4 linked regions of the Caenorhabditis elegans genome follow. The protein of the gene in region 4 purifies or fractionates together with the protein of the main gene of each other region. This does not show direct contact. Each region holds a gene or a part of one and is shown on either strand. Other genes may lie near its edges. The genes, in order: fkb-2, rpl-11.1, cct-7 and hcp-3.

Region 1 (6,675 bases), on a different chromosome or scaffold from region 4:
GGAATTTTAATGCCGAAATACCCAAAAATTGATATTTCCGCAGATTTTTTGCTTATCTGTGGTGTAAGTTGGTGGCGAAGAACTTGCGAATGGATAAAATGACAAAAACCAACAAAATCTCACTAAATTCACAATTTTCTCGCCAATGTAGTGCAAAAATTGAGCTTCTTTCATGAATTTCTTGGAAATTTTCTGTGAATTGAGCCGATTTAAACCAAAATTGGCATTTTACCTAGAGTTGACCAATTTTCGATGATTTTCAGACCATTTTCAGGCCAAAAAGGCGGAATTGAAGCTCGAAAACACCGAAAACTACCAAAAACTACGAAAATAGTAAATATTTCGAGTTTCAGATGTAGAAAACTTGGAAAAATTCAGCTTTTGGAAGATCTCGCCTCGAGAAATTAGGACCAACTTAAGGGAGAATTCTTTTTAAAAAAGCAACGTTTTGAGGCGAATTTTCAACTACTAGAGGATTTGAACTATCTAGAGCAATCTGAGAATTTAATTTCACAAGAAAAATGGCATAAAATCGCCAGATGACCCAAAATTGAGAGAAATTAAAGAAAACTTCCAATTTCAAATTCCGAAAGATGAAAATTGCTACGAAAACTAGAGGACATCTTTGACCACCCGGAACACTCCATCTAATTGGCTGGGCAAATGGAGAAGCAGTGAATGACAGTGAGGAAAAGCAATAGAGAGAAGAAGAGAAAGAGAATGTTTGCATGCCATCTGGTGCTCTCCTTCTTCCCCTTTTCAACCCGAACAACGAGCTTGTGCTCCTGCTCCTGCCTGCTTGCTCCGCTGGTCAGTTATTCACCCATAAAGGACGAAAAGAGAGACAGAGACCGCCCATCAAATTGAATGTGTGTGTACTACTAAAAGAGGGTGAAATAACCCGCCTCAATCCATACTAATGTCAAATGCAGTTGCAATTTATATTGAACACACAGACCCAGAGACACAACCAAAGCCAATGATGAATCATTTTGAAGAGAACACAGCGAAGACGACGGAGGAGAAAGAGAACCAAAAGGCGATAGAAGACGAGTTGCGAAACAATTCAATTTGAACAAAGCTTTCTAGCTTTGAAAATTGCGAAATTGAGCGCTGAAAATGGATCTTAATGCCGAGAATGACCAGTGGATTGCGAAATTGGAATGGTGAGTCACATGGAACAGCAGGTCGCCAAAAATCGTCGAGGAAGCTTCAAGTTGTTATAATATTCGCAGTTTTTTCTGCCAAGGAGATCTGAAAGTCATTTAGAAGAAAAAAAATACATCAAAATGCTCAAAAATCATAAAAATATTCGAAATTTTGATGATCGAAGCCCCAAAAAAGTCACGAAATAGTCAAAAGAGCCGCGAAAAACAGAAATTTCGTAGCATTGGCCGGATTTTTCTATAAATATTGCAGAAAACCCGAAGATTTTGTCAGTAAATCGAACGAATAAACTCCAGAAAGCGGAAAATGGGGAAAATGGGGAAAATTTTACATTTTTCTACAAAACACTCACTGTGAGCTGAAATTTCATCAAAAAAAATAGGAAAATTGAGAGTTTTCTAGTCGAAATCTTACGCTATGTGATAATTTTTATAGCTTTTTTATTTTTCTCGATTCACGACGTTATCGGATGCCGAAAATTGATAAAAAACTCTTTCTGAATCACCTATTTCCGCTCCTTCCTTACAGTTTTAAAGCAAGAATGGAACGAACTGAACTTTCCGGAAGAAAATAGGGTGGAAATCAGGAAAATTAGCGAATATTTGCTAGAGAATGAGGAAAATATATTCTGGCAATAACCGAGACAAAACGCGGAAAAAACTGCTGGAAATATCAATTTTGGGAGAAAACGCGAGAATTTTGTGAAAAACCTGCGGAAAATCGGTAAAAACGTCACAAAACCGGCCAAAAAAGTGGAAAAATGAAGAAATTGTCATCCTCTTCGACCAGTTCTCGAAAAACACGACGAAAATTGGCGGGCAGATCAAAAAATTGAGGTCAAAAATCTTTTTTCGCGATCAGAAAATTTTGCGCGTCAAATGGAATGCATCGTACGCAACTCTGCGTACTTAGGCGACTACCGTACTCTTAGCTAAATTCTGCTCAATTTTCGCTGGCTTTTGCCAATTTCTAGTGGAAAAACGTCGGAAAAACTGAAAAATCAATTTTGGAGACAAAAAAGAGGAGATTTTTCAAGAAAAGATGTGTAAAAATGGCGAATTTCAATGATTTTTAAACCATCCCACTGGGCGGAGGAATCTGAAATGATAAAAATAACTATGAATCATCGAAGGGGAGGCGTCTTCCGCCTCTCGTCTTGTGTATTTCTAATGAACAGGAGGCCTGAATTGTTTCGAAAATGGAGAACAGATGGTCTTCTGAGAAAGACGGGCGCTACGCAAGGATCGCCCGCGCACACAATTACGAATGAATTGTGAGGCAAAAAAGTGAAAAAGAAAAGAATAAAAGAGTAAAATTGGCAAGGTAATCGGAGATTTCGACTTCAAGGACACACAAACGCCACGTCAACACGCACAGAGAAAAACCATTTTGTTTTTAAAGATTAAATAATTTATGCTACTTAGATAGGAAGAAATATTTAGTTTACAGAGAAAATTAAGGGGGGAAAAAGAAAGAAAACTTGGAATCATTAAAAAAAATTGATATCATTTATGGAGAGGTTGCACACGGCAGCTGCTAAAACGGAGCTGCAAACGGAGACGGGCAGCTTAGTTGACTCCGAGAAGCTCGACCTCGAAGACGAGAGTTGCGTTGGCTGGGATTTGTGGTGGAACTCCGCGTGGTCCATAGCCAAGATCGGCAGAGATGGTGAGCTTCGACTTCTCACCAACTGACATCTGAAAGAAAAGTTGATTTTTTATATTGAAATTGAGCTAATCGATGGACAAACCTGGGCGACTCCTTGGTCCCATCCCTTGATGACCTCTCCCTTTCCAATCTTGAACTTGAATGGAGTTCCGCGGTCGCGAGAAGAGTCGATCTTCTTTCCGTTCTCAAGGGTGAGCACGTAGTGGCAGGTGACGGTCTGACCGTTCTTTGGCTTGGTGACGTTGTCGCCCTCGACGAGAATCTGTCTGTCGACGCCCATTCTTGCTAAAAGAGGAAATATTAAGATTTATAACTCAGAAATAAAGAGAAAATGGCAAAGAAAAGGAAGAAATTGTTCAAGGGCGAGTTCAAGTTGTTTTTAGGCCAAAATAACAATTATTTTTCAAAAATCGATAATTCTGCCTCGAAAATAAGGTTGCTTTTCTGATTTTCAGTTGATTTACTGATTTTCTTGATAGAAAACTCCAGAAGAATGGCCTAAAACAGGAAAAAACCGGCAAAGTAAACAAAAATCTGATGACCAGAGTTTTAGCCGATTTTAGGCCAAAATAACACTGAATTTTCGAAGAACAACTATTTGTCATTGAAAAGTGGGCGTCTGACATGATTTTTTCGATAAGAAACTCTGAAAAATGACCAAAAATCGGTGAAAAACAAGCAAAAATGGGTTGTTTACGAGGCGAGAGTAAAATCGAACAAGGCGCGACACTGTTCGTGGCGAGATATCGCTGCCGCGAAATTGCATGCGCCTTTAAGGTAAGTGTCTGCGTCTCTTCAGAGAAATTTGTTCTTTCTCGGAAATCGTTGAAAATGAGTTCTCTCGATAGAAATAAATAAAAAAACAAGGAAATTAATAAAATTTCAAAGCATTTTAATTAAAAATTGAAATTTATGGCAATCGTGTCAACAACAAGTGAACAAAAATTAATACCATAGTTTTGATTTTAAACATTTTTCTCCTGGCTACGGTAGTTCATAAAGTACGCAGCATGTATCCAATTCGTTTTATTTTACGCTGGGATTCCTGCTGGCAATTTGCCTTTTTCAAAGCCAAAAGCCGGAGCAATCGTGAGCTTCGACTTCTCTTTGACTGACATCTGAAAGAAAATTGAATTTTTATATTGAAATTGAGCTAATCGATGTACAAACCTGGGCGACTCCTTGGTCCCATCCCTTGATGACCTCTCCCTTTCCAATCTTGAACTTGAATGGAGTTTCGCGGTCGCGAGAAGAGTCGATCTTCGTTCCGTCCACAAGGATGAGCACGTAGTGGCAGGTGACGGTCTGACCGTTCTTTGACTTGGTGACGTTGTCGCCCTGGACGAGAATCTGTCTATCGACGCCAATTTTTGCTGAAAAAGAGGGAATATTAAGATTTATAACTCAAAAATAAGGAGAAATCTACCATATGAGTCCCATGAGCAATTGAACAGCCTAACTTTGCAAGTTAGGGAAGCGTTTCGAGGAATCAGTCCTCTGAACCCAGCGCGGCCGTAACCATATTTGCCACTCACGTGAAATGTTGCGATTTCACCGACTTTCATCTGAAAGAACATTGAATTTTTATTTATAAAAATTGAGTTCTGCAAAAAATCAATAAAAATGTACATACCTTAGGGATTCCGATATCTAAACCAGGAATGACTTCACCGAATCCAATTTTAAAGATAATCGGATTTTGGCTCTCGTAATTGGACCAAGATGTGTAGCAATCCGCAAGCTTAATTTCGATGTAGCACTGAACAAGTTGCCCATTCTCTGGCATTACACCATTTCCAGCTTTGTCAACTTGATGATGAATTCCAGTTTTACCTAAAAATAAATAGAAGATTTCTGATTGAAAAATAAGAAAAGTTTTTGTAATTTATATATCTTCTACACTCCAAATAACAAAAAACTGCGTGGCGTGTACTGCAGAAAACCTAATATTTAGTTAGGCCCCGCATTTTTCTCGTCCACTCACGGAGAAAAGGCAAAAATCGGGATTCCAACCAATATCAGGCCGCCGACATCTCACGGAGACAACTTGCCACGCCCACAGCGAGTTAAACGCAGCGGCGCGCGGTACCCGTGAGATGTCGGCGGCCTGATATTGGTTGGGTTCCGATTTTTGCCTTTTCTCCGTGAGTGGACGAGAAAAAGGCGGGGCCTAAATATTATGTTTTCTGCAGTACGTGCCACGCAGTTTTTCATTTTGAGTGTACATTTCACACAAAATGCGAATTACCTGGTTTTTCGTGCTCACATGAAGATTTTTTGTGGACTACGTGATCCCTCAAGTGTTTTTTCATTCCTTCGTGATTGAATGTTCTCATCCTGCATAGAAGACATCCGAATTCCAGTTCACGAAATGGGATCCGTTTGTATTCGTACTCATTGTACGTCGACACAATGAATTGTCCGACGTCTGGGTTACTCCAAGAAGGTAAAACAGAGTCATCAGTGCTTGCTACTCCATTTTGGTCCTTCATTGTTCTACATCTGATGTTGCTTGATATTGTTTGAAGCTGTTCTCCTTCTTATTATTTCGCGATGTTATCGGATACTAAAATTTATGTTTTTTCAACTTGATTCGAATCAACCACTCCATTGCAGTTAAGGAGCAAAGCGAATCATTTCAGAGAAATGAGAAAACTTGAATTTTTTTTCGTGATTCAGAAAAAGAGCAGATTCTTGGTTACAAATTTCCTCTCTGACAATTTTCAAGAAAAATTGAAAAAAAATGCTGAAAATTCTGGGTTTTGTGGAAAGTGAGGATTTTTATGAGAAACTTGAGGAAAATCTCAAAAATGCCAGATTAAACAGCAGCTGATGAATGGTCAAAAATCGTCGAGGAAACATAAAGTTTCTCTAACTTTTGGAATCGGCGAAAGATACATTTTCACATTTGGAGCAGGGGTGGACGGCTAACTGTTTTTTTCGGCTAACGGCAAATTCGGTTTAAGCCGTGTTTCGAAATTTTAGACTAACGGCTAATTCGGCTAATCGAGAAAAGCGGCTAACGGCTAAAATTGCTGCCGTTTGCATCTCCTCGTAAGGCTTACACTATTTTTTTAAAATATTGTTTTAACTTTGCATATAAATTGATAATTGGAACCATGTGTTAAGCGGATTTCTCAAAGCAAAGAGTCACGGGGAAAGACGACAATTTTTCTTACAGTTTCATCGATGCGGAAAAATCTGTTGAAGCTTAAAAAATGAAACGCTGATAACACATCGAACTCCTACAAGAAGTTGTATTTCCATTGTTCCTTAAAAGCTCTAGCTACGGCCTGAGCCATTATCAAAACATGTACTTAAAATTGTCTTTCAACCTCACGTGATAATTTTTCTAGTCATTCAGTCACAGTCGAAAATTGATAAAAACTATCTCTGAATCAATTATTCATTATCTCATTTCTTGAGGCTATGGTCGAACTGAACTTCTCTGAAGGAATTCATGAATATCGGAATGTTTCCAGCAAATGAAACCCTATTTATATCGAAAAGGTAAAATTGAGGTCACAGATTCTCTATTCAGACAATTATCGAAAGAAAACGCGGATAAATTGTTTATACTTTCAGAGTTTTGGCGAACATTTCGTGAGCGACATGAAGAAAATAGTAAAATCACGACAAACAATGAAGGCATCAAAAATTCGTTTAAAAAAAGAAAACATACATTATCATATTTTTTATTTAAAAAAGTTGCTAAAAATAGCCGACCTTTAAAGATAATGCGAGAAGTTTGTGAAAAATTGCTGAAAATATTAGAAATAGGACAGAAATCGCAACTTCTATCAGAAATTCGGCTAATAAAGACAGACTTCAAATTAATGC
Region 2 (6,927 bases), on a different chromosome or scaffold from region 4:
GTGCTTGTGTGAGTTGAATTCTTTTTTTTTTGAACGAATGTTTACGAGACCCCAATAATGAGAATACGTATTGCACAACATATTTGACGCGCAAAATATCTCGTAGCGAAAACTACAGTAATTTTTTAAATGGCTACTGTAGCGGTTGTGTCGATTTATGGGCTCGATTTTCGATTTTTTGTTTAATTTCAACATTTTATCGGCAAATAAATGATTTTAATGCATTTAAAAAATCAAGCCCGTAAATCGACACAAGCGTTACAGTAGTCATTTAAAGAATTACTGTAGTTTTGCGTCAAATATGTTGCGTAGTACGCATTTTGAGAATTTTATGTTCCCGTATATGTTAAGTCCGGCGATTTTGAAACCCAAAATGCTCGCCGAGACGGTGGAAAATCCACGTTTGGCACCAAATATTTCGACGACGAGAATTTCGAGATTCTTCACGACAAAAAGTGAGTTTTTTTTGCCCCCAGATTTCCAGGTAAATCCCTATTCTTCAGAGGAATCCTAGGAATGGATAACTATGGCTGGGAGAACACAAACTCGTCACGATTCTACGTGACGTTTCGCGAAACTCCGTGGATGAACCGATTCCACGTGGCGTTCGGCGAGCTCGTCGAGGGATTCGATGTTCTGGATGCTATTGAGAATCTGGGAATTCTGGAAGGAAATGGGCCGCAGCAGGGCAGGACAAAGGCCAATATTGTGATTGCTAATTGTGGTGTTTTTGAATAAATAAATAGCAATTAAACAAAATTTGATGATTTTCTAATCGGCAATTCAAAAATGAAAAGGTACGCCAGAATTAATAAAAAGAGAGAAAAAAACATGTAAAACGGGATTGAACAACAATGAAAAATACTGCTAAACGATAGTACAGTACTAAACGGGTGGGGAAGGGGGGCAAACAAAATGTATCACGGAACGACGCTACACGATTTCAAGGTAAAAATTTAAAAAAAAAATAGGGTACAGCTATGAGTGGGGGGAGGAACTAAATAATTGCAATTATTTGAACTAAATCATCGACTTTTCATTGCCAACGTTGGCCAGGTGTTCGCGCCGCCTGTAGAGCACAATGTAGGATTGAAGAGCATCTCGTGGATTCGTGTGTTGGGAGACCTGAATAGTAGATTTATTAATAGTTAACTGGGCATTCCAAAAAGGAAAAAAACAACAAAAAAGGAATGGGCCGAACCGGGGATTGAACCCGGGACCTCTCGCACCCAAAGCGAGAATCATACCACTAGACCATTCGGCCACGGATAAGTATCCATCGGGAAGCGAAGGACGTAGAAATGGTAAGAAATGATTCTTTATTAGTCATTTGAAGCAAGCATGCTTTACGTCTCTGGCTTCCCGCTGAATATTTATCAGTGGCCGAATGGTCTAGTGGTATGATTCTCGCTTTGGGTGCGAGAGGTCCCGCGTTCAATCCCCGGTTCGGCCCTTTTTTTTAAATGGAGTTTCATATTTCTTCGAATCTCTCCGGCGTGATGTATCTTTTTGCATAATCGCATTGTGGAATCAATGTTCTCTCTCTCACTTGTTTGAAACAGGAGAACTAGAAGGTCACATTGCCACACGGAACCTTACCGATGAATCATTCAACGTCACGAACTGCTCCTCTCGTTTTCTCGATCGAGCCACACACCAATAGTGGCCGTAGTCCAGCGTAGTCCCACCATGGATCACAGCTCCGCACAGCTTATAGACGGTGGATGCGCCGGCGGTGGCCATACTCGTCACATCGAGAGTTTCCTGAAATCAAAATTGAATTTTTTTTTTGTTGCTTAATTTAACTATTTTTACCCATTTTTCCGAATTTTTAAGCACAAATTATTAATTTCTATTCAATTAAATGACTTTAAACACTTAAAAGTGCGGAAAAATAGGTGAAAAACCATTCGGATAAAACTGTGCGGCGGAGTTGCGAAATCGCGCGCCGCGGATTGCGCTCGCGACTCCGCCCTTTTTTCCTGTGCCGTTTTCTTTAAAAACTAACATTTAAGGTGACAGGCCGAGAGATTTTCTTCCCCCAACCATCAAACGAGAAGCGAGAAATGTGCATTAGCAGGATCTGTGGAGCTCGGAGAAGTGTGGGCTTCACTGGCGCGTCGGATTTCTTTTTGCACCTGAAAATTGGGGAATTTTGATTGGAAAATGAGTTCGAAAATCCAGTACTTTGAGCAATTATAGCCGAATATCTTGGATTCCGTGAACAGAGCCTGCATGAGTTCTTTAATGGAGTGGCTTTTGCCTGATGGATCCTTTCTAAGCATCCGAACCGTCATAACGGTGTTGTGCTCATAGTAGACGTGCTTGTTCTTGCACCCGGGGCATTGAACTGGAAATTAAAATTATTTTCTTTAAAAAAAAAATCAATAAAGTGCTTCAAAAACCTTCATTTCTTATGGAATATCCGAACAAATCATCGGCCACTTTGCGGCCTTTCAGACGAGGATTGCTCTGCACCGATATCTTATCGAGCTTCCCCAGAATCGCCAGGAGAGCATCATGAGCGTCTTCCTGGCGGCCTTGATTGAATTTTCGATCTTTTTTGAATGCTTCACGGAACCAATTGATAGTTCCAGCATGGCCATGGCTTTGAAGGAAGTTTTTCTTCCAGTTGCAGCAGAGACAAGCTGAAAATTAGCATAATTGCGAGAATATTTCATAGAAAAATCATAAATCAAACCTGTATCTTGGCATTGATGATCCTGAAGGATCCTTACAATTGCCGGAACATGCGATAATAATTGAACACACGAGATCGCATAGCAATAAATCGACGGATTCTGGATTCCCTTTTCCGGATAATTCTCTCTCAATTCTGACCAATTCCAAGCGTAGAGACTGCTGACGAGTTCATGATTATCCAAAATCTCGTTTCCCCGGTCTGAAAGCGTTCGTGGGCGATTTGCTCGATTTGCTGCAAAAAACAAAATTAATCAGATTATTCGCAAATTTTCCAAAGCTTACATGGTGAATCAGGCGTTTTTCTATTAACTTCAATTTCAGGAGCTCGGGGTGCAGGACGATTTTGTGAGGAGGATGATGGAATAGTATCGAAATTAATCCATCTGTTCGTTTTGAACGAATCCCAACCCTCATTTACTGTCATTCTGTAACAAAAAACGTTGAAAAAAAATTAGAAATTCAATTCAAAAGAAGAAATTTCAAGAAAATATAGAAAAAATCAAGAAAATTCAAGGAAAACTTCAAAAAAAAAGAGCGAAAATCGGAAAAAAGCTGAATTAAATAATTAAATTCGAAAATTAAAGGCACACACCATTTTCGGGACCACGATATCTCGGCACGAAAACAAAACCGTACCCTCGAATCCTAAATCGGGCCGAAAATCATTTTAATTCGAGGTTTTTTTTTCTGATTTTTCGAGTTTTCCTCACAAAATGAGAGTGGTTTGTCGTTGTTTCGCCGTCTCTGTCACCCGTTTGTGCTGTTCTATCGCTTGCCCGTTTTCTCTGCCGTCTCTTCAGCGCATGCCGGTGTGTGTGTGTGTGTGTGCGCGTCGCTCCTCCCATTTTCGTTGTTTTAGGCCTAAAATTTGAATATCTTTCTAGGATCTCAAGATGCTAATTTTTTATCGGCATTTTTGAACTTGTGTCTATGCGTTTCTCTCTACTTGTTCTCGCTTGTCACAGTTTTCAAATTTTATGTATTTATGCTTTTTTTCAGGTAATCATGACGGACGTCGAAAAACAGACGGAAATTCGCGAGAAGAAGGGCCGCAATGTGATGCGCGAGCTCAAGATCCAAAAGCTCTGTCTCAACATTTGTGTTGGAGAGTCTGGAGATCGTCTCACCCGTGCCGCTAAGGTATTCCAATATATTCTACAGTAATTCGTAAATTTTCGAAATATTTTCAGGTGCTCGAGCAGCTCACCGGACAAACCCCAGTGTTCTCCAAGGCCCGATACACCGTCAGAACTTTCGGAATTCGCAGAAACGAAAAGATTGCTGTTCATTGCACCGTTCGTGGACCAAAGGCTGAGGAAATCCTCGAGAAGGGACTCAAGGTCAAGGAATACGAGCTTTTCAAAGAGAACTTCTCTGACACTGGAAACTTCGGTTTCGGAGTTCAGGTTAGCTTAAAGTTGAAGTGTTCAAAAGTGATGATTATTTTGTTTCCAGGAGCACATTGATCTCGGAATCAAGTACGACCCAGGAATTGGAATCTACGGAATGGACTTCTACGTCGTTCTGAACCGCAACGGAGTTCGAGTTTCCAAGCGCAGACGTGCACCAGGACGCATTGGACCATCCCACCGTGTCGATAAGGAGGAGACAATCAAATGGTTCCAGCAAAAGTACGATGGAATCATTCTGCCACCAAAGCCAAAGGTCAAGAAGAACTTCTTCCGTCGTCGTTAAGTTTTTCTATTTTCTGAATAAACTGTTGTTATTAAAAATGAAATTGCTAATGTTTTGTTAAAGTTGTGAATCATAGTCTGATTGTCGTGGATCTGAACTTCAACTTCCTGGAATCAATAATTTTACGTTGCGAATGGTCTTCTGATGTAGAAAGTTCAGGATATTTATCCAGGAATTTTGAAAACTCATCGAAAAGGAGTTTGGTATTTTGCTAACGAGCTGGTCGTAGAGGTATCGAAACTTCTTTGAAGATCCTTCAGACAGCCATAATTTTTAATTAAATTTCAGCATTTGCAGATTCGAGTCAAAATTAAAAAAAAAAAGTTGATATTTTCAGTCAATTTATCATAAATATGCAGGGCAGACGTGCAAATAGACAATCTCAAAGTATGGCAACACATTCGGGGGAAGTACGATTATTGGACTGGGGGCAGAGAGGACAAAATCAATTTGATCTTGAAGATTCACAAGAATTATCGGGGGAGGGAAAGGCTTCTATAAAAATGCTATAAACTAAATGGGACGGAGAGGAGGGGAAGTTATGGCGATAATTAATTACAATGTTAGTGCATAGAAGAATTATTCGCTCTTCTCATTCTCATATGGTGCTGGAAGAGAGCTCTCGAACTGGTCGATTCCCCAGATTTCACGAGCGTATTCGGTGATTGTGCGATCTGTTGAGAACTTTCCGGTCGAGGCGATGTTGTAGAGGGCCATGCGAGACCACTTCTCTTGGTCGCGGAATGTAGCGGAGACCTGAAAATAATTTATTTTGATCAGTAAAAATTTGAATTAGTTGAATTTTTTGAGTTTTACCTTATCCTGGGCTTCAATGAAAGCGTCGAAATCGGCGCACACCATGAAACGATCATGATAGCGGAGCATGTTGGAGAGATCCTTGAGCTGATCTGGATCTTCTGGAGTGAACATGCCACCTTCGATTTGCTCGATGATCTGCTTGAGCATTGGGCTCTTGTCGATGAACTCCTGCGAAGAGTATCCGCGCTTTGTGAGCGCCTCAACCTCCTCGACGTTCATTCCGAAGATGAAGATGTTCTCGTCGCCCATCTCCTCGGCCATCTCAACGTTGGCTCCGTCGAGAGTTCCGATTGTGAGAGCTCCGTTCAACATGAACTTCATGTTTCCGGTTCCTGAAGCCTCGGTTCCGGCGGTCGAGATCTGTTCAGAGAGATCAGAAGCTGGAATGATCTTTTCAGCCATCGAGACACGGTAGTTCTCGAGGAAGATGACCTTCAAACGATCACCAACGATGGCATCATTGTTGACTTGTTCGGCGACGGCGGTGATCAAACGAATGATCTGCTTAGCCATATGGTATCCTGGAGCAGCTTTTCCTCCGTACAACACGGTACGCTTAACCATATCGATGTTCGGGTTCTCCTTGATACGATTGTAGAGAGCAATGACGTGGAGAATATTGAGAAGCTGTCTCTTGTACTCGTGGATTCTCTTCACATGCACATCGAACAACGAAGCGGCGTTCACGTTGACATTGTACTCGTCGCTCAAATACTGGGCGACTTGTTGCTTGTTCTCGAGCTTCACACGACGAATCGAATCGAGGAACCCGGCATCGTTGGCGTACTCCTTGAGCTTCTGAAGCTCGTCGAGATTGGTGATCCACGACTCGCCGATCTTCTCGACGATGAGGTCGGCGAGAGATGGGTTGGAGAGAAGAAGCCAGCGGCGTGGTGTGATTCCGTTCGTCTTGTTTTGGAAGCGATCCGGGTAGAACTCATAGAAGTCACGGAAGCTGGAAATGGATGATATTAATTTTTTAAAATGGTAATTTTGCAATTTGCGCGTAAGAAAAATTGGGCGGGCCGGGATTGCAATTTGCGGCGCGCGATTTAGCAACACCGCCGCACGATGTTTTTTCTCTTTCTGTCCGAATTTTCAATGACAAATTATCAATTTTTCGTGATTTTATCGAGTTCACATATCGAAATCTTTCAAAACATCATGCGAAAAACAGCCAAAATAAATTCGTGCGGCGGAGCTGCAAAATGATGCGTCGCCCATTGGTTCTAGCGCCAGGTTTCAGAGCATTTTCGCTTACGTGGAGCTCTTGAGAAGATCCGAGTGAAGAGCCGCGACTCCATTAATGGCATGAGAAGCCACAATGCACAAATGAGCCATATTGATGCGCTTCTCGCCGAACTGATCGGCCTCCTCGACAATCGACATACGACGCATACGGTCGAAATCTCCTGGGAATCTCTGCGAGATGGTGTTCATGAACTTCTGATTGATCTCGTAGATGATCTCCAAATGACGCGGCAACAAATTCTGCATAAGCGACACTGGCCAGCGCTCGAGGGCCTCTGGGAGCAAGGTGTGATTGGTGTAGGCGTAGGTCTTGATGCAAATGTCCCAGGCCTGATCCCAGGTGAGTCCCTCGACGTCGATGAGGAGACGGATCAACTCGGGAATTCCGATCGATGGATGAGTGTCGTTGAGCTGGATGGCCACCTTATCCGGGAAGGTCTCGAAGTTGACACGGACGGC
Region 3 (9,494 bases), on a different chromosome or scaffold from region 4:
GATTTTTTTTGAAATAGGACAAAAATGTTTTAGAAATTGATTTTCCGATTTTAGATATTTAAACTTTTATCGTTTTTCCGTCGAAAAAAAACACGGAATTCTGGCCTCCCTCATAAATCGAAATGGCAGAGTTTGCCGAACTAGGCCATTTTGAGTCCGCGAGATTTTGTGTAGTCCATGTGGAGTACACTACACTTTTCCACGCGTTGTCCGGCAGGCGATTGCCAATGGAGCGCGAAAATTCAATGAGAAAGGCCAGAACCCCGTGAAAAAATTATTCGAGAAAAAATTTAAATTTAAAGGTGGACTACGGTCAGTGGGGAAATTGCTTTAAAACACGCCTATGAGGTCACAATGACCGAATATAATAGTTAAAATATTCAAAAAAAATTTCTAGATTTTATATGATTTTTTGAAAAATGGAAAAATCACAATTTCACCTAATTTTTTTTGAATTTCCGCCAATTGGATTCGTTTGGTGGAGCGCGCTTGCACGTTTTTAAATTTATTTATTTTATTTATTGTTATTTTCCACCAATTTTTAATGTTTTCGTTGTATTTTTGCTTGAATTTTAGAGAAAAAGTCAAAATAAATGCAAATTTTCGATTAAAAAGCACGCTTACAGGCGTAAAAATGAAAAAAAGTAACGTTTTTAAACGATTTCAAACCTGAATTAATTAATTTCATAGATTTACGCCTGCAGGCGTGCTTTTTAATCGAAAATTTGCAATTATTTTGACTTTTTCTCTAAAATTCAAGCAAAAATACACCAAAAACATTGAAAATCGGTGGAAATTAACAAAAAATAAAATAAATAAATTTAAAAACGTGCAAGCGCGCTCCATCGAACAAATCCAATTGGCGTTAATTCAAATAGGAATTAGGGGGAAAACTAAGATTTTTCCAATTTTCAAAAAAACCTTATAAAATTTAGAAAAATTTTTTGAATTTTTTTATCGTGATATTTGGCCATTGTGGTACCATAGGCGTGTTTTAAAGCAATTTCTCCACTGGCGCTATAAAAATTTTAGAAAAAAAAAAAATTTTTTTTTCAACAATAGCTTCAATTTTTGGTCCCGTTTTCTTATTTATAGATAGAAGAAAATTATACTCTGTTTTTTTTTCTGGTTTTTCGATTTTTCGACTAACTCTGAAAAAAAATCCGAAAATAAGAAAACTGTTCCTCCAAAAACCAACTTTCGCACAATTTGCAGATACCCTTTAAAAAAATAATTTTATTTCGGAAAATTGATGATTTATGGTTTTTCATTTGAAAAAAAAATTTAAATTCAAAAAAAAAGTAAAAATAATTTTGAAAAGCCAACAATTTTTCGTTATTTCAGTTAAAAAATTTGAAAAAAAGTATTTTTTTGAAAATTGTCAATTTCTCAATTTGTTTCTTGTTTTTTAATTAAAGAAAAATTTAATTTTTTTAATTGCAAAAAAAATTCATTCGAAACTTTTTTCAAAAAACCTAAAAATTAAATAAATTTTTGTTGAAAATCGACAATTTCCCGATTTTCATTTGAAAAAATTTTAAATTGCAAAAATATTGGAAAAAACTTTTTTTTCAGCTAAACAATTTTAGAAAAAAATTTTTTTTTTTTTGAAAAATTGACAATTTCTCGATTTTCTTTTCTTGTTTTTCACAAAAAAAATGTTTTTTTTTCCTAAAAATCAATTTTTCAGATTCCTACGGATGGATGCTGCCACTTGCGATCATTCTCATCATCCTGCTCCTGCTCTTCCTCGTCATCTTCACGTGCCAGCGATGTGCCAAGTACAAGGCTGATCAGTATAACGTGGCGGATCGTGAGCGAGCTCTTCACAACGATCAAGTGCCGTTGAAGAATAGCGTCTAATTTCTTTCATCTCGGGTTTCAGAATGTCCCATGTCGTTTTGATCTCCGAAAATCGCGGGAATTTAGGAAATATTAATTTCTGTGAAAAAAGTTCCCGCATTTTTTTGTTGATCAAACCACCGTTGTGGGACATCCTGTCACCACTTTTTGTTTCGTAATTTTTTCATAATTTTGTAATGCTCAAAAGCTCCACCAATTACCCCCCGATATCCCTCACTGCCACCCACACTTATATGTTCCTTTAATCTTTTTTCGAGGCACCACGGTGTCAAGATCCTGTGGGATTCTGTGATCTACCATTTTTACGATGCTCCGATATTACGCTTGTCGTGCGCGTTGTTTATCGTTTTCCAGAAATTTTTCTTTCAAAAAAAAGGACAAAAAAAAAATTCTCAACACGCTAAACAACGCGCGCGATGCGTATAATCGGAGCATTGTTGCCTCGATTTTCAGAGATCTCGTTCTCATAGATCTTGAATCCGTGGTGACTCCTCAAAATTCAAGAAATTTCACTTTTCTCCCCGATTTATATGTAAAAGTAGGTGTTTTTGCGACATTTTATATGCATCTTAATCCCCACCCACCACCCCCCAACTTTGAAGCCGGTATCCACCCCCATCACCTAACTTCTCCGCTTTTTCTGCTTTTTCCGGTAAGGTTTGACCTTCTTTCTAATGGTTCTTTTTTTTTGAAATACTGAAATTAAAATTTTTTCAAAGTGCACTTATTCAAACAGAAAATTCAAAACGAAAACGACGGGGAGCGGTAGAGAAAACAAGCGGGTGGTGGACAATAAATCGGTGGGAAAAAGAAAAATTGAGAAAAAATTTAAAGTTTTTTGCAAGAAGCTATGATGAGAACGTTTGAGAGAGAGAGAGAGACGGGGGATCATAACAAAAGGTTTAATGAAAATGATAGAAAACAAACAAAAATTATGAAGAAAATTAAAAAAAAATTGCGCAAAATTTGAATATTTGAATACAGCAAAAGAAAGCAGCGAATGCACAGAGGGGCACATTGATCTCCTTATTGCCCGGGAAGTCCTGGCATTGCTCCTCCAGATGGTGTACGAACATTCTTCACCGTTTGATCGATCGAAAGAACGAGGCACGCGGCTTCGGTGGCAGCTGTGATGGCGTTCCTCTTCACGATGCTCGGCTCCCAGACACATGCGACAAGATTATCTCCGACGGCTTCACGATGGATGTCGATTCCGGCCCATTTCTCGCCTTGAGCATGACGATGTCTCAGCTTGTTCAGCACGTCGAGAGCATCGAGTCCGGCGTTTTGGCAAAGCTGGCGTGGGATGATCTGAAAAATTTCGGAAATTAGCTTTTTTTTTGGGTGTTTTTGGTGAAAAAAATGGATTTTTTGGTTTCTTCGACTCAAAAATACAAAGAATTTTTTCTTTAAAAAATGTTATGTTTTAGTTGGTTTATTACTTACAGCTTGAAATCTGCCTTAACTAACCTAAAAAACGGGAGAAAAACGACGAAAACCTGCAATTTTCGGGGTTTTGACTAAAAATAGCCAGGTTTTCAAGATTTTGAACTTTCAAAATTCCTTCATTTCGGCACATTTTAAGTTAAGCTCAAAATAGGTCTGAAAGTTAACAGAAATTGTTTAAAATCTTGAAAAAAGGTCAGTTTTCGCAAAAATCATATATTTTGCCAACTTTTCCGTATCAAAACGGCTGAAAATTTACTTTTATGCGATTAAATTGCATATTCTGGTCGTTTTTTCTTCGTTTAAGGCAAATTTAGAGTCAATAGGCAGCCTTACAGCTTGAGGGCTGCCTAAGCCAACAAAAAACTGAAGAAAAACGATAAAAACCTGCAATAAAGATCGATAATCGAATAAAATTTAATTTCCAGCAACTGGAAAACGGAAAAGTTGGAGAAATTAAAGATTTTAGCAAAAAAATCCAGTTTTTCGAGATTTTGAACTGTCTCATCACGAAAATCGTTCATTTCTGCATATTTATACTAGCACCAGTTTCTTCAATATCTACCTCGAAAGCCTGTCCATAAGCCATCCAGAAAGCTTGATCCTTGCCCTCAATACCCTTCGAATGCTCACGAATCAATCGGCTCAACTCCATCTCGATGGCACCTCCTCCGGCGACGATCGAATCGTTCTTCTTGGCACGACGAACAATCATGATAGCGTCGTGAAGAGATCGTTCGGTCTCGGCGATGAACTGCTCGGCTCCACCGCGAAGAAGAAGCGTACATGCCTGAGCTTTTGAGCAGTCCTCGAAGAAGTTGTAACGCTCGCTTCCGACTTGTTGCTCGTAGAATTTTCCGCACTTTCCGAGGACAGAGTCGTCGATTTGAGAGACTGTGGTGAGAACGCTTCCTCCGCATGCGGACATCAAGCGATCAAGATCGTCCTGTGGAATTCGTCCAGCACAGAACATGTCACGATCGGCGAACCATTGGGTAGCAACATCTCCGATTGGAAGTTTCGAGAGAACCACGTTGGCGCCGGAATCGTGAATCTTCTGAAGCTTATCGTAAAGAATATTCCACTCAGCGTCAACGACAGCTTGGAAGTCGGAAACGTTGGTCAGACGCATCTCAGCGTTCTCTTTCTCTGCCTTGAGCTCCAGCTCAATGTTAAGAAGAGCCACTTTGACATTGGAGTACTTCTTTGGCTGCATTTCGAAGCCAGCATAACTGAACGCTTTTTGGAAGGCAACTCCTTTGATGAGACGGGATTCCTGAAATTTTTAAAATTAAATTAAAAATAAATATTAATTAATTAAAATAGAGGTATTTCGCCTTTCCACTGAAAATATGCGGATTTTTCAGCTTAACAAATGTTTTTCCTGCATTTTACTAACAAAGCTTTTGGTAAACAGTGAAAATCGAGTTTAAAATGACTAGAATGAACATTTTTCGTCCAATGGTTGAGGAATGATTTTAAATTGAAAAAAAAATCAACGGGATTTTTCATATTTTCTAAATATTGTCCTATTAAAAATCGGTTTTAAACCATTTGTGACTTAACATTAGGGTCAAAATGGTTTAAAATCGATTTTTAATGGAAAAATATTTAAAAAATAAGAAAAATCCCGTTGATTTTTTCAATTTCTAACCATTCCTCAACCAGTGGACGAAAAAAGTTCATTTTAGTCATTTTAAATTCGATTTTCACTGTTTAAAAAAGCTGCTTTGTTAGTAAAATGCAGAGAAAAACATTTTTAAGCTGAAAAATCTGCAATTTTCAGTGGAAAGACAAAACACCGCGTGATAGACGACTTTTCGATTCACTAACGTGCAAATTTCCTCCGTTGACCTTCTTGATTCCGATCATGTTCAATGGAAGATGAGCATCCAACGTGTTCACAGCATCGACAATCATATTGGCGAAGAAAAGCCGTTCTTGACTGACGAGCTTGCTGCTCAACGTGGTTGCAGCACACTTCACAAGCATCTCACGGAGCTCCGTCTCGCCATTAATTTTGATTTCCAAATCAGCCAAGTTCTTCAGCGTCTTCTCGCAAGCTTTTCCGATGGCGCGAATGAGAAGTTGTGGATGGACACCGTCCTCGATGAATGGCTTCATTTGCTTCAGAATTTCGGCGGCCAAAACGACGACAGACGTGGTTCCGTCTCCGACTTCAGCGTCTTGAGAACGAGCGATATCAACCATTGTGGAGGCGGCCGGGAAGACAATATCCAAAAGCTTCAGAATTGTGGCTCCATCGTTGGAGATCGTCGTGGCTCCCTTGCTATCGACGATGAGCTTGTCGAGGCCACGTGGACCCAAGGTGGTACGGATACTGTCGGCGACAACCTGAAAAATACAGCATTTTAGGCATTTTTGACTAAATTTTAGAATTTTAGAAGCTAACTTGACAAGCGTTGATGTTGGAAATGATCTGACCCTTTCCCTGCTTGTTCTCAGTTCCGTCCTTGAGCAGGATAATTGGTGGGCGCATCATCTTGCTCTGAATTTGAATTATTAATTTTTAAAGCACGAGTATAATATTTTGAAATATTAAGAGCGATTAAAACGAGGGCAGAGAAGACAAAATTCGAAGATTTTGATGTTAAAATGTGTAGAAAGTCTAGAAGTATTATATTAATGAAGAAAATCTGGAAAATTCACAAAGATCCAGATGAAAATCGAGAAATAGTCCGACGAAAATATTCCTTCTCGAAACAATTCCCAGGAGCGGCGCGTGCTTGCGTCGCGGCTCGCGGCCACGGCCACCAGCCACAAATGCGCTCCATTGAGAATATTGCAAAGCAGAGCTCTCAGAAGCTCCATAATCGTCGAGTAGACACTTCGGTGAGGAAGGGGAGAAGTAGAAAAGCAGGAAAAGGAAAATGTCAATACTTGGAAGCATGGGAAATATGTGTGGTGAAAATGCAAATGTAACGCGTGTTGTCTCGGAGGTTCAGAGAAAAAGTGAGGGCTCACAGAGCTCTCGAGGAATAGTCTTTCACTTTTGCTTTCTTTTATTTTATTTTTATTCGCTTTTTTCTGCAAATGCCGGAGCTCACATTCCAAACTGGGCTCCTGGAGCACAAGGACCAAGTTCACAAGTTCCTGGTGGAGCATTTTAGAGTAATGGAGCCCATCACAACTTCATTGAGCTGCTCGGAAGAAGATGTCGCCGAGTTTTTCGTTGATTTGACGATGAGCGGGTTGGAAGATGAGAAAAGTTCAATTCTGGTTTTTGATGGGGAAGTAGGTTTTTGTTTTTTGTTTTTCAGATTTAATCTAGCTTCCCGCAAATTCTAGAAAAAAAAGTGTTCAGGAAATCGTGGCAGTTTGCCTGAATGCCGTCAAAGAATGCTCTTTTGTTTCCGAATCGACCCCATTCAATCCACACTGGGATTTTAACGCAGAAATCACAAATGGCCAGTACAAACACGAAAATGCCAACAAGTTGGTGGCATTCGTGCAGGTTTTGGAGCAAGACTTGTCGTTTTTGACTGGAAATCCGAAAAAAGTCTTCAAAATCGATGTGCTGTGCGTGTCGAAGGCTTGTCAAGGGTAGGAAGCAATTTTCTTCTTTTTTTTTCTTGTTCTCCTAGGGAATTGTGCTCAATTTAGGAAGGGAATCGGAAGACAGCTCGTCGAGAAGAGTCTGGAAAATGCTGTGAAGGAAGATTGCGAGTACGTGGCAACCGTTGCAACTGCTGTGGCTTCTCAGAATATTTTCAGCAAGGATAGTAGTTTCTTATTCAATAAAATTTCCGCTTTTTACGAAAAAAATAGAGCGAAAAGTCAGAAAACCTATAAAAAATACAGTACCCGTGTTTAAAGGCACACACACCACATCGGAAGCGTGGCGAGACCTTTGACCACGTGGCAAGACCAATTGAGGCACCACGAAATCTAGAACCGGTGGGATATCGGATCTGGCCCGTTTCTTTGCGTTGGCACTTGAATCCGTGGTGCCTCGATGAATTTTCGATCTAAAAGCTTCAAAAACTAATAAAATTCCAGTGTGGTCTCACAACACTTCGCGAAATGCCATTTTCCTGTTTTCGAAACAATGGCGACGTGGTTTTCGAGAACCTCGTCGACGGTGGAGTCAGCGGGAAACTAATGGGGAAGAAGCTAGAAAAACATGCAAATGAGGAGGAAGAGGACGACCTTCGATAGCGATAGCAACTCAAATTAAAGAAACATATATTTATAAAGGACCAAAGCAGCTAGGATCTCAACTTCAGATACTCAAAACCAATAATTAAAGTACACGTAATGAAATTGACACTTAATAAGCAAGACCTAGGCTATGAATAAAATATTATACATGTATTTATGAAATCAATTGTGTCAGAAATAGAATATTATACAGAGCGTGAGAAATCAGAAATCAGAATTCAAAAATTGGAATCGGCTTGATTTTGCTCATTAGAGCATCGATTCGCTCGAAGCCCTGCTTGATTTCCTCCCGGCGAGCGAGCGCTTCCTCTTCCTCTTTTCGCATTTTCGCCAGAAATTCATCCTTCTCTCTCTTGATCTTGTTGAGACTCTCCAGCTTTTCTTCCTGGAAATATAATATTGTATTTTTATTTTTAAAAATCATATTTAAATAATTTGAAACTCTCACCAGCATCCCGCGCTCATCCTCCAGCTGCTGGTTCTCCTTTTGTGCAGTATTCACGTTTCCGGCATCCTGGGTTTTGTCGAGAAAACTTCCGTGAAGTCTCGCAACGATATCATTTGGCGATTCTTCTTTACGCAGAGTCATGTCCAGGGTCTCGAGGCGAAGAGGCAGAGCGGACGAGATGAAGCTGTCCTTGGCGATTTCAATAGCTGACTTGAGCTTAGTTTCGCGGGATTTGAAAACCGCTTCCATGTCGTCGATATTCCGCGCCAGCTGTGCATCGTATTGGCTCATCTGAAAATGAAAATTTTAGATTTAAATGTAAAGTTAAAAATCGATAATACTACCTCTTTGATGTCGGTGGCCAACTTTTTCATGTAACCCGACATCTCCTGCGGAATCTTTGCCATCAGAAGCTCCAGTTGCGTCGAGTCATCAGCCTTGCGATCCTCGTTCGTAGTGTCTTTGCTGGTGAAGAACAGACGCTTCCCAGGCGTTGGCATCGACTTTCTCGAGGATCTTCTGCGTGGAGTCGTCGATTTTTCGCAAGGAGTTACGCCACGTGTCGGCGTTGCTCGCTGGGGCGACGGAACGATGGTTCCATCAACTTCCATCGGCTCAACGTCGTCGTCATCTTCGTGTTCCGAAACACTGAAAGTTTCTGGGCAACCTTGTGTTTCGTCTGGAACCTTCAAAGTAGGGCCACTAGCGCACGCGTCTGCAGCCAGAAAGGTGCCGTCTTTATTTCTGTCGGTGACTTCCGAAACATCGTGCTCGAGGGCAAAAACTGGCGGCCCTGCACGTGGCACCTCTCGAGCCACTTTCTTCTTTGGAACTGCTGATGATGAGCCGACGGGTGATGCGAAGAGCGCGGCTCTGACCGAGAATGTGGTGTCGTTTGATTTTTGAGACATTCTGAAATGAATTAGTGATTAAAAATGAGAAAATAACGTTGAAAACAAAGAAATGGCTTATTTTAATATGAAAATCCAACTTTTTTGATCTAAAATTGATAGAAAACGGGTTTTTCTATTTGAAAATAAAACTCATTTTTGTTAAAAAGCTTGCAGTTTGCCGAAAAATGCCGTAAAACATTATTTTCAGATAGACAAACCCGTTTTCTGCATTTTTATTTCAATTTTAGACAATTTTCGCTTAAAAAAGTTGGATTTTCATGTTGAAATAAGCCAGTTTCGTGTATTTTCCGGAAAAAACTGCCGCAAATGAAATGGAAATAAGAGAAAATCGCAAATTTTGGGCCCAAAATCCACCGAATGAAGGGGTCACGTTCAAAATTCGCGGGGTTAATTTGCCGCGCCAACCCCGTCACTGACGCATTTCTCGTCGCTTGCGCGTTTGCGGTGCAAAATTTTTAATCTTTATTTTCCTTATTTCCAGGCGTTTTTGAAGAGTTTTTCATGGTTTTCAGGCGTATTTTATTGATTTTTTATTGTTCTTATTAGTTTTTAAAGCTTTTTTACCGTGAAATGTATCTTTTTTGCGATTATTGTGCGTAAAATGGCCTTAAAATCGAATTTTCCAATATTTTTTTGCAGTT
Region 4 (7,623 bases):
CACATGCTATAAAAGGTCTCGAGAAAAAAATTTATTGTTAAAGTAGAAATCATGTTACAGTATAAGAAAAATGAAAGTAATTTATGAAATGCAAGCCGATACAAACTTTTCAAAGTTTTCAACGTAAGGTGCGAGAGCTCCATGCTTGTACGCCAGGAATTTTCGATTCTTCGAATCCTCGTTCTCGTCGTTTCCTCGTTCAGCCAAAAGACTGCTCAACTCTTCCACGACATGACTGAAAGTTTTTGGATAATACTATTAGAGAGACGACTTTTTACTTACTCAATTCGAGGACATTTGCTTACATCGAACTCTTCAATTTTACCGACATTCAGAGGAACTGCAACGTTTCCGGTCTTTGGATGAATGCAGAATGGGGATTTGAGCAAGTGATTTGTTCCTGTAAAATGTGACCGTTTAGTACGAAATCAACGCAGTTTCATCGAAAAATTAGGAAAATAATTATTTTTTGTTCAGAAAGTTTCAATTTTTTGAAATCTGTAGGGTGAGAAATTCTAAGAAAAAAACTATTTTCGAAATAAAGGAAGTTTTCAGTATTTATCGTAATTTCCCAAGATTTTGACATGCCTTCTTAAAGGAGCACGGATTTATTCAGATGGGTCTCGGTGCGCAAAAAGTAATGGTTGTATTTTTTTTTCGCGCCGAGGCCCATCTGAATAAATCTGTGCACTTTCAAGAATGCATGTCGAAATTTTTTGAAATTATACAGTTTCTTTTTGATTTTGAAACTATTTTTAAATATGTAAAAAACATTTCACCTGTAGATACATTAACATCAAGACGTGGATAGCATCGTTGAAGAACAAAGTAGAGAAGATAATTTCGGTCGCGACCTTGCATTTTCTGAAAATTGATTTATCTATTTTCCGACTGTTATCTCAAAGCTTCCACTTACAAAATCGAGAAGACCGTCCTTCGGAGAAAGCGATTTGCGATAGTCGTCATCAAAAAGCCCACGAATCATGTTCCAGCGTTCTTGTGGAGTTTTGTAAGTCTCGGAAAGGCTACGCAAGTCATCTCTGCCTACTTCTGACATAAACTTGTACTCTGTGATAAAATCTTCCTTATCCAGCCATCCCTGGTCATAGATCATCTTCTCGAAAACTCCATCTTTCAATGCAACGTTAAACGCGTCACGCACAATCGGCGGAACTTTCGTCATTTTGGCCCGACCTTCAGTCACCTCACATTGGCCATTTTTCTGTAAAATGAATTTTTTATTCTAATTTGGACAAAGAAGTTCTCGAACCTTGAACAAATTGAGTCTGGTCGCGATTGCAGATCTTTGATAATTGTTCAACATCCTCGCTTTTTTGTCACCGACCCAACAATGTACTCCACGTCTACCAGAGAAGACCCACATTCGTGCTTTGAAATCGAACATATCTTCCAGTTGGAAATCCAAGATTTTAACAGCGAGAACCATGAATTTCCAGCATTTTGGGCAGACGGTGGCATCTCTGAAAAATTAGAAAATCGAAAAGTGGGTTACAGATCATCTTAATAATGCCCTCAAATAACTATCTTTGCTAAATATATCAATATAAAAATAGAGATACGCGGAAACGGGATTTTCGTAAACTCTTACTTGCAACAATTACGAACTGGATCGTAGTCGGTCAAATCGATATCAAAAACCAATTCTCGTTCCACAGCTTGATAATCTGTATGTCTCTTGTTATTAATTGGCTCGTGATTGTAGACAGCTCCAATATCAAGTTTTTCCGGGTTAGTACTTGAAAGTGCTTTGAAAAATGCGTGTTCGTCATTGTAACTACGATATCTGATATGAACGTCATCTGCCAGAATGAATGCGAATTCTCGGCGGTTGAAATAGTCTCCGTTATCTGCAAATTTCAAATTTCGTTAAGAAAATCGAAATTCGAAACTCACTTTGTCCGTAGCGGAGCCATTTTGTGAATGGTTTGACTGGGAAGAAGTTTTTGTAGTATATTGGCAAATCTTGTGGAAGTCTGATGGAGTTATAAGACATTTCTGAAAAGAAAAAAAACTATAAATATTTGGTTCAATTGAAATTCAAGCTAAAAAAAGATGAAATCCTCAAGAAATAGGCACATATGTAGTGCGGTAAACTGGTTTAAATTCCAATTTCGCGGCGTGTACAACAGGGCGCGTTTGCATTATTTTATTTTTCTCTAAAAGACCATTTTCTCTCCATTTCTATACTCATTTTCAGTGTACAAATGAATTCAATAAAACATTCTACGGAAATTCCATCGACCAGTAAGCTGTCAGATAAGCAAATAATTAATTAATATAAAATAATTGCAGGTACCCAATCACTAGTATTCGAATTCACGAATTTGGACGATTTGTACGGATTTTTGAATATTCTCCAGTGTCGTGAAGAATATTCGTTTGCTCAAATACGTGCCTTCTATAATATTCCCGTCGATAAGGTAACTAATTTATCTTCTATTGCCAGAAGTTATTATATTTAAGCTTCAGAAACTTCTTGTCAACATCCAAGTGAAAAATCCGGCACAAAATCTCGATTATGCTTGGGAAAGACGTTTGAAACACCATTTCCGATACATGCTTGATCTCGAAAAGCTCATGTGGAACTTGTCTACTCTAGGTGGCGCTTATTCAGCTATGGGAGATTTCGATGCAAATTATGTAAGTTATCAGTTTACACTTTAGTTTAACGCTAGCTTTTCAGGCGAAAGTCGCTGCAAAAATTACTGCTCATCAAATCAACTTAGCGAAAAAATATGGAGATCCAGTTATTCTTGCACGATGCTACCTGTATACCGCCCTCGCAGAAGCACAACTCGGAAATCTCTCGCATGCTGTTAATATTGTTAGGTTGGATTCTTGAAAGTAGAAAAGGCTTATTTACGTGGTCAATTTCAGAGCAATTTATCACTGGGCCAAACAGAATCCGAACACGGATATTGTACAAAGATGCTGCGAAGGAGTCTATCAGAAGCTTCGAGCTATTCATATTTTCGGAAAAGCTAGTTCGAACAAGTGATTAAATAAAATGTTCTCATTTACAAGTAATGAATCTTTATTATTTGACAAATAGTAAACGTGTTCACGGTACACAAAAGATCAAACAGCGCTAAAATTGATGAGATAAATATGGCTTGAAGATCGAAAAATGAGTATTGCAAATATTGTTATCAGAGATGTCGAAGGCAGAGACGTCTGTATAACTGAATATCCGTTGTCATGAGTGTGACACGTTTCGCATGGGTGGATATAAGAGACGATCCTTCGAACATTTCGACCAAAAATGCTTCCGCCGCTTCTTGAAGAGCACTGATGGCGTCAGAACGAATACGGCAGTCGGCGCCAAATGGAGTGGAAGTCTGCATAATTTCGCGGACGAGGCGTGCGAACGGAGCCTGAAATTTGGAATTGTTTTAATATAGTTTAAATAAAGTAAAAATTGTATACCTTTTGAATCAGAAGGTCTTCAGTTTTTTGGTACTTGCGGATCTCTTCCAATGCCTTCTGGCCCGGTCTATAACGTCTCGTTTTGGTGACTCTGTTCCTTCCGGCTCTCATCCGCACGCGATCGGAGCTCGATGGGCCAGTTCTATTACCACGATCGGGGTTCGATGGGCCAGCTCTATTTCCATCGCCATTTGTTCCATCCATAGAATAGTTTTCTTCGTCGGAGCTATCGTGTCGACGGTATGAGGGCATATGATGACGGCCGTGGGAGTAATCGACAAGATTCGTGGAATTTCTGCCGACCTGAAATAAATTTTATGTTGTTTGAAATCATACAAAATTGAAACTAACCGTGAAATCCATAGACGAAGCTCTTCTCCGAGCTTGCTCTTTTCGCGCGTGATATTCGTCTTCGGCTTGCTTCAACTTCAAGACATATTGATTCCGTTTGCCTGTGACCAATCGAATTTTGTGGATGTGCGCTTCAGTGTAGTCGTTGGCTGCATCATCCTCAAGCTCCTTCTTATACTGGTTCAGAATGTCGATCAAATCGTTGACACCTGCGGCGCTTGTGTTGAATCCCGGCACTGAAGTGACTCTGAAACAGCAGACATTAATTTGTAGCACGAAAACAAAAATCATCACTTACCTTTGCATGTCATGTTTGAGACGTTGCATGATCCTTGTGACGCTCTCATTTTGCTCGGCGATTTCCTCAATAATTGGGGTGTCATCGGCCATTGTTCGAAGATTATCCTGATAAAATATAAAATTTAGAAAACTGAAGCTAAATTAAGACGATTTGTTTGAAGGTTAAAAAGGAATTAAAGAAGCAATAAATGCGAACGCAGTTTAAATAAGTAACGATTGGCGGCGAGAGACGCAGGGAAATACGCAGACGACATCACGCTAAAGTGCACACAAAACAACATAAATGACGGACTCAACCCCGGGGGTCGCCTAATTAATCAATATTTGGGTCTTATAAAAATTTAGTTCAGCTGATTGAACAATTGTGTTGTTTTTTTCGAAAAAAAAACGATTCTTCATAAATATTCCATCAAAACTTCACGAAACTTGGACTGCCTTGGGCTGTGTCTCGCATACAGCGATAATATATAATATGAGATTAGCTGTATAATTTTTTATCGAGATAACTTTGGAAAGTGCAGTGAAAAAACAAATATTCGCCGGAGAAGACAATGATTCGGTGTTTTTCACGACACTCTGGAGCTTTAACACACAAAAATGTAAAAATAGTCTGATACAAAAAGGAAAAAAAAAGAAAAAAAATCAAAATAATTCCTAATTTTAGGTGACAATAATCTGAGAGTCACCATCAACAGACAAAAGAAAATTCTAGAAAAGAAAAACCAAATTTTCGCGCTTCCGCGCGCTTTGAAAAACTAAAATGTGCAAGTAACACGAGAGATGCGCCAGCAACTTCCGCTTGCGCGGAAGGCGATTATTCAAGCAGGTCTAGAAATAATAATTAGAGCTAATATTCTCTTATAATCGAAGAACGCTTAAAACTTCGCTGCAAAAAAATTATAATAAATTTATATTTGGACCTGGTAATCCAGTGTTCGATAAGCCGAGTCTACTGCAATGACATAGCACAAGTTTTCAATTCGAATCACGTGGTCTCATGAGACGTCTCATAACTGATCTATAGTTTTAAATAGGATTTTTTATATATGATATTAAAAAAATTCAAAAAATTTTTCGGCCGGAAAAGTGTGCCTGCTAACCGAGTGACAATGGTTGGAAACTACGTCTCAATTACCGCTTTTTTCCATGTTTTTTCCCATCAAAACAGCGAAAAATCGAAAAATGAAACACTTGATCCTGACACCAAGTGATTCAGGAAAGGCTCGTAACTAGCAAACCTATTTTATTTCGATGAGCTTTCCGAAGCTTGTTGAAAACATATAAGCCAACTTTTATAATTTTAAAATACCAAAAAAGTCTAAAATGCCAAAAAATTCGGCTAATCGCTCTGTTTGAATTTGAATTCCCTCCAAAACAAGAACTGCAATACCAATTAGCAAATTGCTCCGCACACTTTTCCACCAATCAGACAAAAAGGGCGGAGTCCGGAAACGCTGATTGGTTTCTTTCTTTATTTTTTATTTCTTTTCAAATACCATTATCCCGATAGAACGATAGACATGACATGTTTTGCAAAGTTAATACTAAACTTGTTTCCAAAAAAAAGTGTACGTGTTCCGTGTTGATTCATTTTCCTTTCCAATTCTGTGTCTTTAGAATTTTCAAAACACCAACACACACACACACACGGAAACCTCTTCAATATCACTTTTGCAGTATTGTCTCTCTCTTTTCTACATTCTGCCCAAAAAAAGATTGAACACATGAAGAAATATTCGCGACGACGAATGGGGTGACAAACTGTGTAAGAATACTATCACAATGATGCGTAAAATGCTTTCGTGACGTCTGTCACTAAACAATTGAATTTTATGAGCGCGTCGAGATGTTCTCAGTGAAAGGAAACATTTTTAGGTGTACATAATTGGCACAGAAATCATAAGGAAAAAAATCGAAAAAAAAACCAAAACTGCAGCTGAATGAATTTGAATTCTTGAATTTCAAAACCTACGGAGTCGGTCAATATTCTATTCGTTCACGGTTTTACAGTGATTTGCTTGAGCTGTTCGAATAACTCAAAAGATATGTTAGCAAAATATTTTCAACTGACCAGATGTTGCAAATTACTTTTTCTACATTTTTATTTATGTCAAAATTATTATATAACTCTATTTCGGATCAAGTTACAGCAGCTGAGGTCCTCCTCAGACTTTCATAATTCATGTTTCATGCTTCGTATACTTTTTCCTGATCAATTTTTTACACAACAATAAATTGCAAAATGTAGGCATTTTTATGGAAAACATTTTCATATTAAACTTTGTTCCATGAAAACACCCAGTTTCAAAGTTGTGGTCTATTTAGAAATTCGATTCAAGAACTTGCCCGCCGGATGTCAGCAGCTTCAACTATTTTCAAAATAGAGTTTTATAAATTTGACATTAATATATATGTAGACCAGATAATTTGGAACATTTAGGTAGTTTAATGTATATTGCTAGCTATTATACATAGTTATTGAGTTATAAGTGTTTGAACAACTCAAGCACACCAGGCAATTAATTCATGGTGCATCACAAAAACGGCCATTCATAAGGCGCAAATTGCAAAAATTTTCGAGTCGCGGTGTATGCATCGTGCTTCCACAAAGCCAATACTGTGTAGTTCCTGATGGACATCTTGCAAATTATCTATGATCTAGTGACCAATATTCCCATCTGTTTGATTCGAACATCCTTCACCAATCCTCTTCCACATCCTGGCGCCAACTCAACCTCGAAGATCATCCGACCAAAAACACATGTCGATGGCATCCCGACCCCGTCGGTGCCCATCCACGTGCCCATCGTTTCTCTCGTTTCCTCCTCTCCGAAAGCCTGATGATCGTCGAACGAGTGCGTCAGAGACGCAGAGATATGTTCGGCGCTTCGCCTCCTTTTTTGCGACGAGAGCTACAGAGAAACGAAGAAATAGGAAAAGTATAGAGAAATTGTGAGATATAGAGAGATAGTGAACATGAGAGAGTAAGCAATAGAGAGAGAGAAGGAGGCGCCCGCTCCCTCAACCCCTAAGACCATTGAGGCGCTGCTGCTGGCCTTTAACATTTATGTGAGTGTGTGTGTGTGAGTGTGGTGTGTTTCTCGTCAGCTCCTTCTTCTCTTTTCCATCTCTTTTTTTTCCAATTTCTCCCTTTCTCATCTCAACCCCATGTTGCCTGTGTTGCTGCAGCAAACCGATCAGTCCACCACCACCACCGCTGTCTTCGTCGTCGTCGCCGCCGCGAAAAACTTTTTTCTCCCAAATGATTCGGAGCGTCGTCCCCCCCCAGCCCAGTCAGCCAGTCAGTCAGCCTGTGTATATGTCTATTTGTCTCGCAGTCTCTCTTCGCGCCCGGCTCCCCCATCTCTCGTCCCGCCGACGAACGTATTTCGATCGTCTCGTTTTTTCGGTTGTGTACCCCAATATCTAAATCTAGTCGCGATTGAACACCTGACCTATTCTGTCAAATCACACACACCCTTGCGTCTGTGACGACATTTATTTGCAACATGTTTCATATTGAAT

What was found.
Region 1: the proteins of hcp-3 (region 4) and fkb-2 purify together in Caenorhabditis elegans (affinity purification with mass spectrometry, with the first as the bait; one large-scale study listed by BioGRID). This does not show direct contact.
Region 2: the proteins of hcp-3 (region 4) and rpl-11.1 purify together in Caenorhabditis elegans (affinity purification with mass spectrometry, with the first as the bait; one large-scale study listed by BioGRID). This does not show direct contact.
Region 3: the proteins of hcp-3 (region 4) and cct-7 purify together in Caenorhabditis elegans (affinity purification with mass spectrometry, with the first as the bait; one large-scale study listed by BioGRID). This does not show direct contact.

Annotation. Positions count from the first base shown.
Region 1 is NC_003279.8:12,915,167-12,921,841, reverse strand, and holds fkb-2 (peptidylprolyl isomerase), read right to left. Parts: upstream 3,121-6,675; 5' UTR 3,116-3,120; coding exon 2,918-3,115; intron 2,865-2,917; coding exon 2,736-2,864; 3' UTR 2,562-2,735; downstream 1-2,561. Other genes in the region: fkb-8 (peptidylprolyl isomerase), read right to left, coding at 3,867-3,953, 4,006-4,208, 4,262-4,400, 4,469-4,668, 5,084-5,327.
Region 2 is NC_003283.11:3,582,840-3,589,766, reverse strand, and holds rpl-11.1 (Large ribosomal subunit protein uL5A), read left to right. Parts: upstream 1-3,702; 5' UTR 3,703-3,708; coding exon 3,709-3,843; intron 3,844-3,893; coding exon 3,894-4,109; intron 4,110-4,158; coding exon 4,159-4,398; 3' UTR 4,399-4,434; downstream 4,435-6,927. Other genes in the region: T22F3.12 (Peptidyl-prolyl cis-trans isomerase), read left to right, coding at 1-8, 352-455, 504-738; T22F3.2 (Ubiquitin carboxyl-terminal hydrolase 36), read right to left, coding at 1,021-1,125, 1,600-1,764, 2,009-2,138, 2,188-2,350, 2,406-2,648, 2,702-2,935, 2,986-3,127; pygl-1 (Alpha-1,4 glucan phosphorylase), read right to left, coding at 4,978-5,154, 5,215-6,172, 6,479-6,927. UniProt on the Caenorhabditis elegans protein: Component of the ribosome, a large ribonucleoprotein complex responsible for the synthesis of proteins in the cell.
Region 3 is NC_003283.11:1,868,570-1,878,063, reverse strand, and holds cct-7 (T-complex protein 1 subunit eta), read right to left. Parts: upstream 5,819-9,494; 5' UTR 5,813-5,818; coding exon 5,723-5,812; intron 5,665-5,722; coding exon 5,143-5,664; intron 4,586-5,142; coding exon 3,875-4,585; coding exon of another isoform or gene 3,830-3,874; exon of another isoform or gene 3,561-3,829; intron 3,175-3,560; coding exon 2,890-3,174; 3' UTR 2,559-2,889; downstream 1-2,558. Other genes in the region: zig-11 (Ig-like domain-containing protein), read left to right, coding at 1,691-1,863; T10B5.4 (aralkylamine N-acetyltransferase), read left to right, coding at 6,364-6,564, 6,635-6,873, 6,934-7,048, 7,330-7,488; knl-3 (Kinetochore NuLl), read right to left, coding at 7,703-7,876, 7,940-8,230, 8,284-8,850.
Region 4 is NC_003281.10:9,612,266-9,619,888, forward strand, and holds hcp-3 (Histone H3-like centromeric protein hcp-3), read right to left. Parts: upstream 4,206-7,623; 5' UTR 4,189-4,205; coding exon 4,097-4,188; intron 4,046-4,096; coding exon 3,799-4,045; intron 3,751-3,798; coding exon 3,448-3,750; intron 3,396-3,447; coding exon 3,171-3,395; 3' UTR 3,041-3,170; downstream 1-3,040. Other genes in the region: pri-1 (DNA primase small subunit), read right to left, coding at 82-235, 283-400, 780-864, 917-1,222, 1,271-1,481, 1,610-1,868, 1,915-2,014; F58A4.6 (DUF4807 domain-containing protein), read left to right, coding at 2,226-2,265, 2,314-2,441, 2,491-2,661, 2,705-2,850, 2,899-3,019. UniProt on the Caenorhabditis elegans protein: Histone H3-like variant which exclusively replaces conventional H3 in the nucleosome core of centromeric chromatin at the inner plate of the kinetochore.